Drosophila melanogaster: one gene and its partner. The protein of the gene in region 1 binds, or shares a complex with, the protein of each later gene. Each region holds a gene or a part of one and is shown on either strand. Other genes may lie near its edges.

Region 1 (7,387 bases):
TTTGACAAATTCATGTATCTTATTAATTATTTAATTGCTTGGTACTGTAAATCCAAATTTATTGTTACGAAAACTAAAGCAAACTATGAACGGACACATGCCGATGCTCTCATTCCTGACTTGTAAATACACTCATCAAGTACACTAGCAGGAATTGGGCTGGAGCAGTGGCCAGTCGAGCACATTGTGTACGCTGCATTTCTAATCGTATATTAACTTACATAAACCATGTTCTCTCTGATAAGTCAAATAAGCTATTGTTACCAGCATATTCGAGTAACGAAACAACCAATATCGTGCATAGCTGATAGTGATATGTACACGTACTGCGTTCTATATAAACCAATATATACGACATCTAGAGAATCACCGGGTTCGGTGATATCGCACTTTTGTAAATACGCGCAAATCCCCTAGTATGAGCAATAAACCTATCTATATGTGTGGATTAACATATAGTGATATTTAATGGCATTTGATGTTTAAGTCATTTCAATTCCCAAAAGGGCAAATTTAACTTTAGTCTGCATGATGGACTTGCCTTCATTCATTATTAAATGTTCCACATAAGCCATTTCGGTTTGTAAAAGCTTTAATAATAATTTATCTTACTATAATTGAGTCTGTACACAGCTCTGGCTTGTCGAGGTCTCAATTCATACAGCAAATACTATTTTAATCCTACTTTTGTATTCCATTGATCGACGCCGCATTGGCAGAAGCTGGCGACATGCAGTTACCATCTGGATAACGCTTCTGGAACTGCGTAATTAGCTCCGGATCCACCAGTCGAATGCCATCCAGTTGGTTTCCCAGGGTTATCCAGTTCGGTTGGATGTTGTGCGGACGCCCAAAGAGCTCGATCTTGCGAGTACCCGGGCTTAGACGCTCGATAATACCATAAATCTCATCCGGCTTGTGAGAGGTGGCCCGCACCTCCGCAACGATCACATCGCAATCGAGTCCGCGGTTCAGGTTTGTGGGATTGCCTTTCATGCCCACCAAACAGTGCTCCTTGCCGTGGTTTAGCCAATGACCAGTGCGCCCAGTGCGAATAATTCGCTGCAGTTGGTTGGTCTTTACCCAGATGAGTTCGTCCACGCGCTCATAGCCCCACAACTTGAGGCAGTCGCGGCCAAGTTCCATGGCTCGTCCAGTGACCCACAGAAAGATCAAGCCGTCATCCTGAAGTGCCGGCACGCCCAGTGCTCTCATTTCATCGTCCGACATTGTGCCGTAGGGCAATTCCATGTGGATATCCCAGGGAGGATCGGCCATCACCACAGCGAACTTTCCCAGGACCGTCATGTCCAAGAAGCGTAGGTCGCATTGAATCCATTGCGGCGGATAGAGCGTGCAACTGGAGTCTACGCTGCGCTTGAGGCTCAATTTGGTTTTCACATCCGTGGGCTTGTTTGTGTTTATATGCGGCAGGGTGTCCACCTCATAGTGCACGTACTTGCAGGTGGCCATGTGGAAGCAGGTGTTTAGGAAACTGCAGTCCCCCAGAGATTCGTCCGTGTGAGCCTGGATGATCTTTTTGAAATGCAGTTTGGTGCACTTGTCTGTTGTCTCACTGCTGCAGGTATCGCTGCCATCGGTGGATTCCTGCGACTCGGCTTCGCAATTGTTTATAACCTCCGCAATGATTTCTCCATCCTCGGCTGCCGATTCTGTCTTGGGTACCTTACCGGTGACGTTTTCGCCCGCATCAACATCCGGGCGAAGCTCCTTTTCGTCTCTTCTTTCTTGTTTCTTTTTGGCCGCCATCTCGGCGGTGGCTTGTTGAGCCTTCAGGCACTCGACTTTTGTGCCGTGGGAGCAAAACTCCATGACCTGCGCTCCGCCGTGGGACTTAAACTTCTCAGCCACGGATCGCTCTTTGGCCGTAGGCTTAGTAAGCAGCTCAAGAATCTCCTCGCCCACCTGCTTACTCTGTTTTTCGCGGGTGGAAGGCATGGATAGCAGCATCATAATATCGTCCGGAGCATCCAGGCTTGTGGACTCTTTCCGCGCTACAGTGGACTCCAGTTTTATTGTCTTCTCCTGTGGCTGATCAACATCGTCGACTTCCACTGTAAAATCAACAGCAAATTATTATAATTATTAGACTTATGAGAGTAGTAATTTCTGTGAGACCCACACTTTCTCTTGGCCTCCTCCTCCTTTTGCTGACACGTATCGTTGGTGTCTTCCAGGATCTCCTTCAGCTCCTTGGGCTGCACAGAGATGATTTCGCAGCCGGCCTCGGTGCCGATGGTCACGTTCCGGATCACAATTGCACCCTGGTTGGCCAGTTTGCCTAGAATAAAGTTCACCATCTCCAGGCTGCTGCCGGCAATCTTTTCCACCACCTGTGTGGAGACAATGGGCAGGGCCAGGGAGCAGGAACTGAGGGCCTGCAGCACCTCCTTCTGTACTTCCAAGTCAGCCTCAACTGGAAATGCAAAAATATATTCATTTTTGTGGCTCCAACTTGTTGCCATTGCCGGTGCTCACCGAGTTCCTTTTTGGGATTCGTCAGATCCTCCTGAATGTCCGAGAGAATCTCAATGCGCTCCTTCTTGCGCTTTTCCAGCTTCTCGCGGAGCGTGTTCCGCTTTGTCTTGAGTGATTTTATGTCCCACGCATCTGCCATTGTTTATAAAACGCTGCCGGCCTTTGGTAAACAATGAAATTTTTTTTACAAAGGCTCGCAGTGTGACCGTGTTCACATTGCAGGTAAACACGTTACATTAAAATACTAAACTAAGGTAATCTACTTATACATTTTACACAAGTAAATTTTAAATTACCATCAAGAACGTTAAAAGGGCCAGTGTTGGAAGTAGGCTGGTATTCAAAATTAAAATTAAAAAACGTTGAAAGTATTAACATTGCTGTGCCCCCATTATATTTCTTATTCTAATTTGTATGATCTATTGGACCACACACAGTTATTTATTGATTGGTATATACGATTTTACCCGCACCGCCCAGTTGATATTTTCAAGGAATCCGCTCTGGCCACACTGCTCCGCTCCCCATCGCAAAAAGCGGAAGCTGCAACATAGCTGCTCCGCAACATTTTGCCAAATAAAACGTGCCGAAACGCATAAATATTTGATGAAAACCGCTCCAATCGTAAATAATAACCCAATCAGTTTAACCTGTGATCGACTCGCGATAAAAACGCGCGCGAGTGCTGAAGAGAAATAGAGCGAGTGCCGCCTTTTGCCTGCTCCCCGAAATTCGTGGCGTTTTCTTTTTTGTTTATGCGCGCAAGAGAGAGCAAAGCATTAAGTGCGCGCACTCAAACACAGTCACACGCGCGTACACAGAAGTGGGGATTTGCGAAAATCTCGTCTATGTGTGTGTGTGCACATAGCATTTGCACACATTGTTATTGTTGGGTCGTGATACAGAGAGGGTGACAGAGAGAGAAGAGAGAGCGAGAGTGAGGCAGCTGAACTGGGGCCAGATTTATAACGCGACATTCGCACTTTTACTCTGGAGCATGACGGTTCGTTCGCGGCACTTTCGACGCGATCCAAAGCTGCAGCACAAGCAGCAGCAGCTTCCGAGTCCGTTCCGAATCCAAATCCGATTCCGAGTCGCTAGCAGCCGAGGAGAAGGAGCTGTCTAATCCGCAACAGATTCCGCAGCGCGTACATACATATTGATTCAGTGCGAGTGCAGTTGCAGCGCGCGCCCCATCACAACAACAAGAAAGAAAGAAAGAACGAAAGAAGAAACCCACACACCCACCAACCACCCCTCGTTTTTCACTGTGTATACTACAGCTCTTCGCTTCTTTTTTTAAGGCGGCGGCACGCCCTTCCCCAACGTGCGTGTATGTCCGTTCGTGCGTGTGTATATGTATGTATTGGCGGGCTAACCAGAAAATCGACAAAAAAAAACTTTCGAAATATTGAATTGTGAAAACTATCAGAAAATCTGAAAATTATGTGCCTGCTCGACGACATATATTCCCCAGTTTGCATCGAAATAATGTGCACCCCAAGTACATAAACAACAGTTAAGAACACAAAAAATACCTTTCGACGGGAACCAGCAAAGAAACAACATGAAGATGGTCGATAAGTCGTCCAAGTTGGTGGATAAATTTGCCGTAATCAGCGGCACCGGCGGCAGCGGCCCTGGAGGCGGTCCGCTCAACCTGCAAAGTGGCGGAGGAGGCGGCGGTTCCGGCGGCGGAGGAGGAGTCTCCGGATCTGGTGGCATATCCGGAACGGCTGGCTTGTCCGCCGGAGCAGGAATGACCACTGGCCAGAAACCGGTGCCCATGAAGCTATTCGCCGCCTGGGAAGTGGACCGAACGCCGCCCAATTGCATCCCAAGGTGAGTGTAAACAAATTTCACTTATGTACATACATACAAAATGCGACGTAGGGACAGTAAAAGCATAGTTTCTTGCCAATTTTTGTTTTGTTTTGGTTAGTTTTGTTTTGCTTTGTCAAAGCAAGACACAAAAATGCCAACTGAGTTAACAAGATTGGTAAATGTTACTTAACTAGTCGGCGATGTAGCTAATTTGTTGTTGAAGCCATCACATTGCCACAAAAGTTAATCAAGATTATTTGTATAGCTTAGCATTGAATACATATAAATTAAAAAAGTATAAATTTTGCCTTGCTTAAATCAGCTTTAACAAAAACAAAACCCTATCATTACTATTCCCTCGAAGTACTGAACTTAAAGGTTATACATCTGATAAAAAGATAATACACAACGTCAGTTTGTTTACAGCTTATTGTTGATTTTCTGCCAATTTGGTTTCGTGCCGCGGTTTTCGTTCGATTGGGTTTTGTTTTGTTCCTATTTTTAGTTAACAAAAGCAGCAACTGCGCTAACTGTTATTTAAAAGGTATTGTTGTTGCCGCTGACAGCGCTGATTTTTATTTATTCGCATCGGCACAAGAAATCGAAAAAGTTTTTAAGTGCATTATGAAAGAGATTGACTTTTAGGAATTAATCGATTTTATGGTTAGCCAAAACCATAAAAGTTTCAAATACGCTGTTCTAAGGAGGTAATTTTAAACTACAATTCCTGGAATACAAAAATTAAAAAAGGTTTACGTTCTTGACCCCTCTAACCAAAAATGTAGTAAAAAACAATGTCGACATTTTTGGACGTGATAGTAAATCTGACCGCAATTAAATCCCAACCTAACCCAACATAATGTTAGAGATATGATGGAAGATTTGAAATTAAAGTAAGGCACATAAAGAATTATGAAATAATGAAGGAAGTAACATGTTATTTATATTGTAACCTAAGATCAAGGGGATATTTATAATGAATGTCAGGCTGAATAATCGCTGTATAATCAAAACAATATTTAAAATATGTTTTATGACACCTACCAATTGTGTATAAATTATAGAATTTATAATTTCGCAATCTCTGTTGATAAGATTCTATCTTTGAATGGCGATCCGCAAATAAACCCGTTTGTTTTGTGGCATTGTTTTGCTTGTTTTCTTCTTTCATTCCACACGTCTTGTGCCATGTCTTTGGCCCAGTAACCCCGAACCCGAGATGAGTAATGCCCCATCTCATCTGGCCGCTACTCTTTGGGGTTCTTCTGGTCTGGCTGATAAGAATTAGCGGCCTATTTGCATGCGGATGAGTCAGACTTTGTCCAATTTGGCTCAGATGTTGACTCTGGACAAAGATTAATCTATAATTGGGGCGGACACCACACTGCGTCGCACAAATTAGAAATTAGCCAAGGCAAGGCGCACTTTTTGTCCGAGTTTAATCGCTTTTGTGTATTTTAAGAGCTCTCAAGGCGATAAACTGGTCAAGTAGACGGGCATTAATATCAAAACAGCCAAAGGCCTTGAACACGCCCATTTTCAAAGAAAGTTTAAGCAAGTAAAGAGTAAAAAAATCTTTTTAAGTTGTCAATCTACAAAATACATGTAAAATGAACTTTTAAACTGAAACAAAATGAATATGATTCGAATGTTTTGTATGTGTATTAAAAACTGAAGTGTTTTACAATTTATCTATTATTTTTCACTGTGTAGAAGGACCATCAGGCGGTTTGGAAAGTATTTACTAAATATTTGATGGCCAAGGCCAAATGTGCTCCTCTCGCCTTCTTTTGGCACCTCACACCCCATTTGGTGGCTCTTTTTTGTCTGTTCGAAAGGTCATAAACCGCTGATGCCGCCTATGTTTTATCTTTGGGATACACTTTTCGAGTTTGGGTTTGAGTTTTCCGTTTTTGTTTTGCTTTGTTTGTTTATAATTATGCGCTCGCTTGGCTGGCTTATAATTAGAAACTGAAGCTAAGCAAGCAAATTTGGAATTTTTCAGTCACCAACTTTGAACTTTTCGCCCGAAAAATGAAGATGGGGTTGAAACTTTCACCAGAGCCCAAAAAAGCCAGTAAAGATGGCATATTTTCCAGTTGGCTAATTAAAAATCTCATTCTGCCTAATTGCAGCCGAAAGTAAATGTAATTTGTAGTTATGTCAGTGCACCATGTGTCGTCACATTTCCTATTTCCCTGTTTCCCTACGACTGCGCAAATTGTATCTTTATGTTGATTTTATCTACGACCGAATGCGGCACGTAGAGCATATCCAGACTTTGATTAGGACTCACGCGGCATTAGCGTAAGTTTTCCTTGCGGTCGCCAGACGTACGTGACCCGTCTGATCCGGCGCATTTGCCTGACGACCCGGCCGATGGCTGGCTGATTCATCCGGATCCGCTTGACCCGTCAGAGCAATCAAATTCAAATCAAATCAGAAAACGGAATAAAGAGGGCAAACACACACACACACACATCTACTTGGTGGCAATGTCAGGGTGTGAAATGCATTCAAGTTCGAGGCGTAGCAAATTATCCTTGGCAAAGTTTGTATCTGTGTATCTCGTTTTAATTTGCCTGATTTGTCTGAGGGTTGCGGAAAAGTTGTGTGCCAATGCTGAAATACAGAAATTGCCGCACTGTTAATTCACTTTCATGGAAGATACGAGTAAATGAAACTTTTTCCATTCTGATTAACAATGCGTCGAAGGGGGAGGTGAATCACCATATCCTTATCTTCTGTTATACGCAGCAATTTACTTAATATTCTCATAAAACTAGAGGGTTTTGCACCGCATTAATTGGATTGGTTCTTCTTGAGGAACTTCTTTCTTTTACTTTTGTAATTGGAATACTTTTCCATACAATTTTCTACGAACAATTTAGATATGACTCGAATTCTTATCTGAGGATCTTGAGAATATTTGACATTTACTGAAAGTAATTGAAACTCCATGAAGGCTAGATTTTATTAGGGATCCGCTATCTTTATCTTTATTAACATACCACATTATTTGGAGTGCCTTTATCAGCAGGACACTTTTTGGGAAACATTTTCC
Region 2 (9,336 bases), on another chromosome or scaffold:
CTGGAGGATCTGGCCTCCTCCTTTACACTATCCAGCATTGTTCGTGAGGGCGGCCTCGAGGCGGACACCTTTATTTGTGTCGGCAGGTCGGTAACGAAATCAATCTCGCGGTGTATATCACACAAAGTGGTACAGGTGGCCACACTCGCATTGGTCGGTACGTCCTCGAGCTGCAACTCCTGCTGCAGATCGCTCAGCGGACTCATGGGCTCAATTACGACATCATCTCGCCACGATAGCATTTCATCAAGTATCTGCCGAATATTTGGCAGGGGCTTTGGTTCGGGAAAGCATGTGCCCACATCGTGGTGCTTGATGAAGGAGGCTGTAGTGGTTCCCCGGGTGGTGGTGGTGTTCTTGTGTTGCGTGGCCTGGTTGCGCGTCTCTATCAGACCTTCCACTTGCACAGCAACAGAGCAAAGCGCGGGCTTGGGATCAGCGGGTTCCTCGTCGGTTTGCGTAGATTGGTTGACTCCGGGCTGATGGGCTTTCCGTTTGCTACGTGAATTCGGGCTCTTTGGCGTGGGCACGCTTACGTCTATAGTCTTGCAGTGCTCCCTTAGCTTCTTCATGATGTTCTGATCCCGCCGCAAAAGTCCACAATCGTCGCCCAGCCGCTGGGAGAACTGCATGAGTATGGACAGCACATCCTTGGCTTCCACGGGTAGTCCCCGCACTTGCAGCTGCTCCTGCAGATTCTCGCAGTTCCCAACCTGTACGTCCAGCTCCTTTTCCAGCTGTCCGCATCGCTCGCCGATCTGCTTGGTGCGCTTCTCCAGCTCGATCCTCTGTTGCTTCTCCTTCTGGTACAGATCCGTCACCTCTTGGGCGGTGCGCTGCAGGTCGGCCAGCTGTTTGTTTTGAGCCTGCAGCTGTTTCACCTGGCGGATCAGCTCGTCGTTCTGGGCTATTCGCTCGGCCAGCCGGCTTCGCTTGGCGTACACATCTTGGTTGCTCCTGGGCAGCGACACCTGCTTATACGGCGCCACCAGAGCATCTTGCAGCGGTGCGCTTGGGCCCAGAAGCTGATCTATATTGAAGTCGGAGAACTCGTCCAAATTCATGTTGCGCAGACTTGTTGTTGCTGGATTTCACGTGGTTGCGTGTTCAAGCGCCACTGCGGTTCTAGAACTTGCAGAAAACAAGGAGAATCCTCATTTTCCACACAATTCGCTAGTCGGTCACGAGTTGGACAATATTAAGCTGCGCATCTGGCGATTTAATACACAAAACAGAGAAATAAAACAAAATCCGCGTTTTTCTCTGCAGCCGGTCTCCAAAACATTTCCCTTATCGACAACCCAGCACGAGCCTATCGATATATATGGTATGGGACTATTTTATGGAACTCTTATAGGTCGTTCTCACTACTTCGTTTTTGATAGTTCACACTTTATTTATAATAAGAGGTTCGAATTATAGTTTGATAATATTGTAGAGGAAGTAAATTTTGAATTACTGATAATAACTAAATTTACATGATTTGCGTGCGTCCATTGAAGGGAAACAAATGTACTCTGAATCAGTGCGATTCCCTGCGTTAGGTTTAAGCCTATGGTTTTTAGGGCTATTTTACAATCTTTTAGAAAACATTGAGAGCATCATTACCAAAAATGGGGAATATTGAGAAAAAATCCAATTCATTTCTAGACATGAGCCAATTGTGACGTTAAAATTTGATGCATTGTTTTGCGCAAGCTACTAGACTGAGACAATTTTTGTTTAGTTTTTAAAGATGTATTCAACATATTCTAAAGCATACCCTCTTGAATACCCCTACCAATTGTAGTAGAGCAATTGATGATATCGATCACTTATCGTCTTAAGTTCCATCCCTAGCAGTTGCGGAAAATAAATAAAACTTCCGGACTGTAGAAGATTTTACTGAAAAAGACTCGATTTAAGCACACAACATGGCCGACGTAGACGACGGGTCCGAGCTGCTGTTCTTCGACACTTTCTCGCATGAGGAAGTGACGGTAAGTGCCTCCAGAAGCCCCCACTCGGTGCATTCGCTGAACCCCACTTCCTCCTCTCCTCATAGGACATCAATTTGGATTTGGTGCAGTTTCCCAAGCCGGTCTTCATCACACAGGTGCGGATCATTCCTCTCGGCGCCCGAGTCCAGGCAGACTTTCCCGGCGGCGTTCGCCTGGGCGCCACCAACCCCTCCAAGTTCGACCTGGAGTTCTTCGTCAATGACCTGGGAATGCCGGCTGCGTCGGCATTCGAGAACCTCGGCCTGCTGCGTTACAACCAGAACGACTGCATTCACTTGGATTGCTCGCAGGAGAAGATCGTCACCGACGGTCTGGTGCTGCGCGGCTGGTACAGCACCATCACACTGGCCATCTACGGCATTTTCACCAACTCGGTGACCGAGCCAATCGCCAGTCCAACGCTGCCCTGCGAGCCCGTGGGCCCGGAGATAGCCAACCTGAGTGGCGAGGTGCTCCTCCAGGAGGATGTGCTGAAAGACGAGTGGCAGGAGCCGATGCAGGCCGAACTGCTGACCGCTCACAAAGGAAATGTCAGCGATTACGATCCGGAGGACATGGAGTATGGAATGTCGCGGGATCATTACCACCAGCATGCCGAGGAGCAGGAGCAGCGAGAGATGCGACGACTGCGTCGGTCCACGCATTCCACGGATCACTCACCGCCACCGCCCAGAAGATCGCACACGCATTCGGAGAGCAACGACAGGGAGTACATCAGGTGGTAAGTGGTTATCTGTTTTATTTATTATATTCAGACTTATCACAGACCTTTCATTGCAGTTCCCGCGACAAGGGCTCCAGGGATTGGTCGCGTTCACCGGAGTATTCCAGCCATCGGTCACGTCGCAAGCGCTCCGAGAGATCTCGCTCCGTTGTGGACGAGCACAAGTGGCCCAGAACCCCGCCCGCGTCGATAGACTCACCGACACGTCCGCGTTCGCCAGACACGATGGACTACGAGGACGAGGACTCGCGCTCCCACTACAAGATGCAGTCATCTCACTACCGGCACTCCTCCGAGTCGCTGCACCGTGGTGAACGGGATCGGGACGATGAGGACCGATCGTGCACGCCGCAAGAGCAGTTTGAGCCCATTCTCAGTGACGACGAGATCATCGGCGACGACGAGGAGGACGACGCAGTGGATGCGGCTGCCATTGCGGAGTACGAGCGGGAGTTGGAGGCTGCTGCTGCCGCTGCTCCTCCGGCCATCGATGCTTTCGAGCCGTGGCAGAAGCCACTGTTGGTCTTTGAAGGGGACATGGCAGCCCACTTCTGCAAGGAGCTGGAAACTCTGAAGCTGCTCTTTAAGAAGCTGGTCCTGCAAACCCGCTGTGAGAATGTTAATGCCTTCAGCGAGGAACATGGCGCTAGTGTGGACGAAAGGGAGCAATTTGTGTACTTGGGTGAACAACTGAACAACCAATTGGGTTACCTAGCCCAGCACTACAAGCGGAGGAACTTTGTCCTGCAGCAGTTCTTCGGAAACGATGAGCTACATCTGCGACAGGCGGCTAACGTGCTGCAGATTGCCCTGAGTTTCCAGGCGGCATGCATGCAACCACAGCCAGCTTTTAAGATCCGCCACATCAAGCTGGGTGCGCGAATGGCTGAACTTCTGGGCAGTAGCGAAGAGCTCTTCCAGCACTTGTTGAAAGAGCACAAATTCGATATCTTTGAGGCGGTGTTCCGGCTGTACCACGAACCGTACATGGCTCTGTCCATCAAGCTTCAGCTCCTCAAGGCCGTCTACGCCCTGCTGGACACCAGGATGGGTATCGAACACTTTATGGGAGCGAAGAACAACGGCTATCAGATGATTGTTGAAGCCATCAAGACAGCCAAGCTGACCAGGACGAAGTACGCACTGCAGGCGATTATAAAGAAGCTGCATTTGTGGGAAGGCCTGGAGAGTGTACAGATCTGGTGCCGTCGTCTCTTCGTGGACCGAATAATCATACCTGGTAATCGCGATCAAATGGAGGACACAGTGATAACTTGCCAGCAGATAGAGTTTGCCTTCGAGATGCTGATGGATGCACTGTTCTCCAGCCAGTTGAGCTACTTGCAGCCGCGTCGCTTTCTGCCCGTGTCCAAGAAATTCGAGGTGGTGACCGATCCCACGGCGCAGCGCAGTTTCGGAAATGCCCTGCAGTCCTACTTGGGACAGAACTCACTGGCGGAATCCCTGCTGGTCATGTTGGCAAACTGCAAGGAGTTGCCGGCCACGACGTATCTAAGCATGCTAGACTTGATGCACACCCTTTTGCGCTCGCATGTCGGCATTGATTACTTCGTGGATGATGCTTTTCCTGTAACGCAGACGATTGTGGCCATACTGCTGGGCCTGGACGAGGTTCCTCGAAACCCGGAGGAAAAAGAGGAGAAGGCAGAGAAGTCGGATGCAGAGGACAAGGCAATGGAGGTCGAAAATGAAGCTGTGGAAGCTGGAGGCGAGAAGCCAACTCCACCGACGGCCGACGAGGAGGGGAAGCCAGTTGCGGCCCCGATTTCCGTTCCAGCTCCAGCTGCTGCTCCTCAAGTGCGACCCAGGCCGATCCTGCGCCCAGTACTGCCACGCCTGGCCAGGTTGGGCATCGAAATGTCGTACAAGGTGCAGACGCGTTACCACCTGGACGCCATTGCTTACGCTGCCGCGGCTCCCGAATACGATGCCGTCAAGTTGGCCACGCATATGCATGCCATTTACTCGCAAACCTGCGATCCGGCTGGGCGGCAGCACACCGTGGAGGTGCTGGGCTTGAATAACAATCTTAAGATCTTCATGGATCTGATCAAGAAGGAGCAGCGTCTGCAGACGCAACGCCAGCTGAGTTCGCCGGGCACGAAGTACAAGAGTCCGGTATTGAGCTATGCCGTGGACATGGTGGACGCCTGCGTCCGCTACTGCGAGCAGTTGGACTACCTTATCGAGCACGGAGGTGTGATCCTGGAGCTGGCCAAGAACCACGAGACCTTCGAGCCCTCGGTGTCGGCCGTCCTGCAGGAGATGTACGTGTACATGAAACCCTTAGAGGCCATCAATGTGTTCGTATACGATGACATTATGCCGCTGGTGGAGGTGATAGGACGCTCCCTGGATTACCTAACCACTTTTCCCGGAGATCTGATAATGGCCATGCGGATTTTGCGCTATCTCTCCATAAGCAAGCCGCTGGCAGGTCAGAAAGCTCCTCCAGTGACCGAGGAGCTCAAACATAGGTTCGTGGCCCTGCAGCTGTACGCGGCGGATGGTGTCCAACTTTGCATCCAGATCATGGAGCGACTATGCGCCTACTTCGAGCAGCCGGGTGCGCACGCTCCCGCCCTGATGACCATCCAGGGAGTGCATTGCTGCCAGATCATGCTGCCAACGCTACAGATCCTCCGCGAGCTGCTCTCCTACGCGATTCTGTGCAGAGACGGCACCTACAAGGACCTCACAGCCATCGATCACCTGGTGAAAGTGTACTACCTGCTCTACTACTTCCCCACGCGCTGCCAGGCGGGACCCGAGGTGGAGCAGTGCAAGATGGAGGTGGTCCAGACCCTGCTCGCCTACACCCAGCCGAACGAACAAGACGAGGAGTCGCTGCACAAGTCCCTTTGGACCCTGATGATCAGAGAGGTGCTTAAGAATGTCGATGGTCCCGCGCACTTCATTCCTGGTAAGCTAGACTTTGCAAGAGATCTGATCCATCTAATGATTCCTTCCGTACAGGACTGAAACTTTTGGCGGAGCTGCTTCCACTGCCGCTGCCTATGCCCCAGCCGCTATGCGACCAGTTGCAGCAGCAGCACAAGCAGCGTCTGATTACCGAGCGGAAACTGTGGTCCGCCCACTTGCATCCCCAGAGCGGTCAGATCGCCAAGCTGGTGGAGGCACTGGCTCCGTCCAGTTTTCCGCAGCTGTCCGAACTACTGCAGCGAGTGTGCATGCAACTGTCCGACCTGGCGCCCAACATGACGCTGCTGATCGCCAAGACGATCACGGAACTGCTGTGCAATGAGTACCAGACATCCAACTGTATTCCGACCACCAACCTGGAACGGCTGCTTCGTTTCTCCACTCGCTTGTGCGCTTTTGCCCCTTTGAAGAGCTCCATGCTGTCCATACTCTCCGGAAAGTTCTGGGAACTCTTCCAGTCGCTGCTGGCACTGAACGAGTTTAACGACGTGGTTTCCAACTGCCAGGAGGCCGTTCACCGCATTCTGGACAGTTTCCTAGACTCGGGCATTTCGCTGATTTCGCACAAGAGCACGGCTTCGCCCGCTTTGAATCTGGCTGCCGCACTGCCACCCAAGGAGCTCATTCCGCGAATCATCGATGCGGTCTTCAGTAACCTGACAAGCGTGGAGGTCACGCATGGCATATCGATTCTAGCGGTGCGCAATCTGGTCATCCTCACGGAGCACGAGTAAGTTCTGAATATCACTCGCACGCTTTTAATATTAATATTATCTATACCGCCAGCTTCACTTTCTACCATCTGGCGCAGTTGTTGAAGCAAAAGATCACCGAGTTCCAGGCGTGGATGGAGCGCGTGATCCTTCACAACGAAACGGTGGAGTACAATGCCAACATCGAATCTCTGATCCTGCTGCTGCGCTCTCTGACCCAAATAGAACCGCCGCCCGCCATGTCGGCCATGCCACACCGCACTCTGAAACTGGGCGCCACAGAGTTGGCTCAGCTGGTTGAGTTCCAGGACATTGAGCTGGCCAAGCCACCGGTGCTGAGCCGCATTCTCACCGTCATGGAGAAGCATAAGGCAGTGGCCAATGAGGCGGCGCTGAGCGACCTCAAGCAGCTGATCCTGCTGCAGGCCTCTAAGCAGGAGATTCTCGCCGGAACCAGTACGGAGACGCCACCAGAGGCGGAGGGCGAAGCCAATCCATCTGCCAGCAGCTGCAGTGCATCTCTGACCGTGGAGCCCTATCTGCCACAGGCCGAGGGCATTGTCACACAGTACGAGGCGCGTCCGATCTTCACGCGATTCTGCGCCACCGCCGAGAATGCCCAACTAACGGCGCGCTACTGGCTGGACCCGCTGCCCATCGAACTGATCGAGGACATGAACGAGCCGATCTACGAGCGCATTGCCTGCGATCTCACGGATTTGGCCAACGTGTGCCTCAATCCGGACTTGAATGTGGCTGGCGATAGCAAGCGGGTCATGAACTTATCCGGCTCGCCCCAATCCAATCGGGAGATGACGCCCACGGCGCCTTGTTTCCGCACGCGCCGTGTGGAAGTTGAGCCCGCGACTGGTCGACCCGAAAAGAAGATGTTTGTGTCGTCGGTAAGGGGTCGTGGTTTTGCTCGGCCACCACCTTCCAGGGGCGATTTGTTCCGCTCCCGGCCGCCCAACACCTCGCGACCGCCATCGCTGCACGTGGACGACTTCCTGGCCTTGGAAACTTGTGGCGCCCAGCCCACAGGACCCACCGGCTACAACAAGATACCCTCAATGCTGAGAGGCTCCCGGGTGGGTCGCAACCGAGGATCTCGAATCTCGGCAGCAGCTGCCTTTAGGTAAAGTGTCACGATTACCACTTAGCAGGATAACGCTAATGGGCTCTTTTTACTCTTTTAACAGGCAAAAGAAGATGATGCGCATTGGTTCGCCCTCCAGCTGGGCAGAGTCCCCCGGATCGTATCGGTCTGCCTCGGACTCCCACTTCAGTAGCAGCGACTCGCACTATTCGTCGCCCCACTACAGTGGACGGCCGCGTGGACGAGGCCTGCGTTCCAGGCCATCCTACCTGAGATAGGAGGACATTGCAGCCCAACCCGCTTCTCACTGACACTTCCCGTAAACTCGGCAAACGAACCAGAACTAGATCCTAAGATGCCCGCTGGGCAGCTGAATTCCAATACTTAATAGTGTGTGTTGCTTTCGTATTAGTTCGCTTTACTTCCCACTTTGTATGTAAGCCAAAAGTTAGTTTTCCGTAATTACACTGTGCAAACGGACGTCGTGCGACTCCATGGGCAACTCCTCGTTGCTGACTATCTGCTCGTTGAGCGACAGTGCCATCAGCGAGATCTTCTTGTGCGGATACTTCTCCGCGTGCTGCTTGAGGAACTTGTCGTAGTAGCCCATGCCATGGCCCATCCGAGCTCCGCAGCGGGTGAAGGCCACACCGGGCACAATGAAGAGATCGATGCCGTGCCCTGTGGTGATCGAGTGTGTGTGTGTGGGTTTAGAAGGAGCTCTGATGTATGCCTAGCCACTCACCGTTGGTCATGGCATCCTCGCGTGCCTCCTTGAAGTCCGGCTGCTTTATGTTCCACTTGGTCAGAGGCAGGCTCTCGTACTCCTCCATGCCGCGCAGCCGCACCATCTTCATCCTGCTGCCCTCGTAGGTGGGCACAAAGACCATCTTCTCCAGGCGGAACATCTCCGACAGCAGCGCCGTGGTGTCCAGCTCCGAGGCTGTGCTCAGGTAAATGCTCACCCGCTGCGCCTGCCGGAAGATCTCGCTTTGCAGCACCTGTGCGATCGAGCCGATTAGGGGGATTGGGAATTAACTTGATAACCTTGGGGCCCAGCCAAACCAATGTTACCTTAGCCGTGACGGCCTGCGACTGCCGGGCGATGGCCTCCGCGTCGATGCCCTTCAGTGCATCCTTCATGCGCTTTCGCAGCGCCACCTTCAGGGTGTTCTGGATCGTGGCCGCCATTCCTGCCGCTGGATCATCTACTGCACACTCGAGCGAACCGGTGCGAACTGTTTCCATCTGCCTGCGCGGTCCATGCGTCTTTAGGTCGCCACTCCGCCGCCCGTTATCAGCTGCGCTTACACTGACGCTTATCTGTCGGCTGTTCCGCTTTGCAGCGCTGTTCGTAAACAAATGGAAGTGGAGCGGTCTGGGGAAAGTTTAGGCTTGCAGTTTGGGTGAGCCGCGGGGCGATCAGCTGATCAGGGATGGGAGTTATCCAATACACAACCAGTTGTAAATTAAACAAAATATATTTGGAGTACCATTCCCATTAAATACAATTCAGACAATCCAGCCTAACCATAGTTAAGCTAGTGGAGTTCAAAGCTCCTGGTTGGGCTCACTTCTTGGGAGCCTCTGGTGCCTTAGGCTCCGTCTTGGTCTTCAGGTTCTTCAGTTGCTCCTTTTGCTGCAGGGAAACATGGAATCTTTACCTCGTGTACAGTCTGGTGTAGTAGAAAGAGCTCACCTGCTTGTAGAAGAACTCCTCCTCGCGAGCAGCCTCCATTTTGCCAAATGAACCGCCCGCCTCCCGGATGGATCCGCCGCCGCCGCCGCCGTTGCCGGCTCCACTGCCCAGTTCTCCGATCTGCGACATCTTCAAGTGCC

The links.
Region 2: Mettl3 (region 1) and vir share a complex: the UniProt entries of both Drosophila melanogaster proteins name them as parts of the WMM complex.

Annotation. Positions count from the first base shown.
Region 1 is NT_033777.3:24,027,448-24,034,834, reverse strand, and holds Mettl3 (methyltransferase like 3), read right to left. Parts: upstream 2,679-7,387; 5' UTR 2,639-2,678; coding exon 2,500-2,638; intron 2,438-2,499; coding exon 2,144-2,437; intron 2,076-2,143; coding exon 682-2,075; 3' UTR 578-681; downstream 1-577. Other genes in the region: KrT95D (krueppel target at 95D), read left to right, coding at 4,067-4,341. UniProt on the Drosophila melanogaster protein: Catalytic component of the WMM complex, a complex that mediates N6-methyladenosine (m6A) methylation of mRNAs, a modification that plays a role in the efficiency of mRNA splicing and is required for sex determination.
Region 2 is NT_033778.4:23,358,832-23,368,167, reverse strand, and holds vir (virilizer), read left to right. Parts: upstream 1-1,812; 5' UTR 1,813-1,913; coding exon 1,914-1,979; intron 1,980-2,044; coding exon 2,045-2,721; intron 2,722-2,780; coding exon 2,781-5,668; intron 5,669-5,721; coding exon 5,722-6,418; intron 6,419-6,474; coding exon 6,475-7,536; intron 7,537-7,600; coding exon 7,601-7,775; 3' UTR 7,776-7,945; downstream 7,946-9,336. Other genes in the region: Ice1 (uncharacterized protein), read right to left, coding at 1-1,064; Mthfs (methenyltetrahydrofolate synthetase), read right to left, coding at 7,946-8,178, 8,243-8,498, 8,572-8,688; CG34423 (uncharacterized protein), read right to left, coding at 9,068-9,136, 9,197-9,335. UniProt on the Drosophila melanogaster protein: Associated component of the WMM complex, a complex that mediates N6-methyladenosine (m6A) methylation of mRNAs, a modification that plays a role in the efficiency of mRNA splicing and is required for sex determination.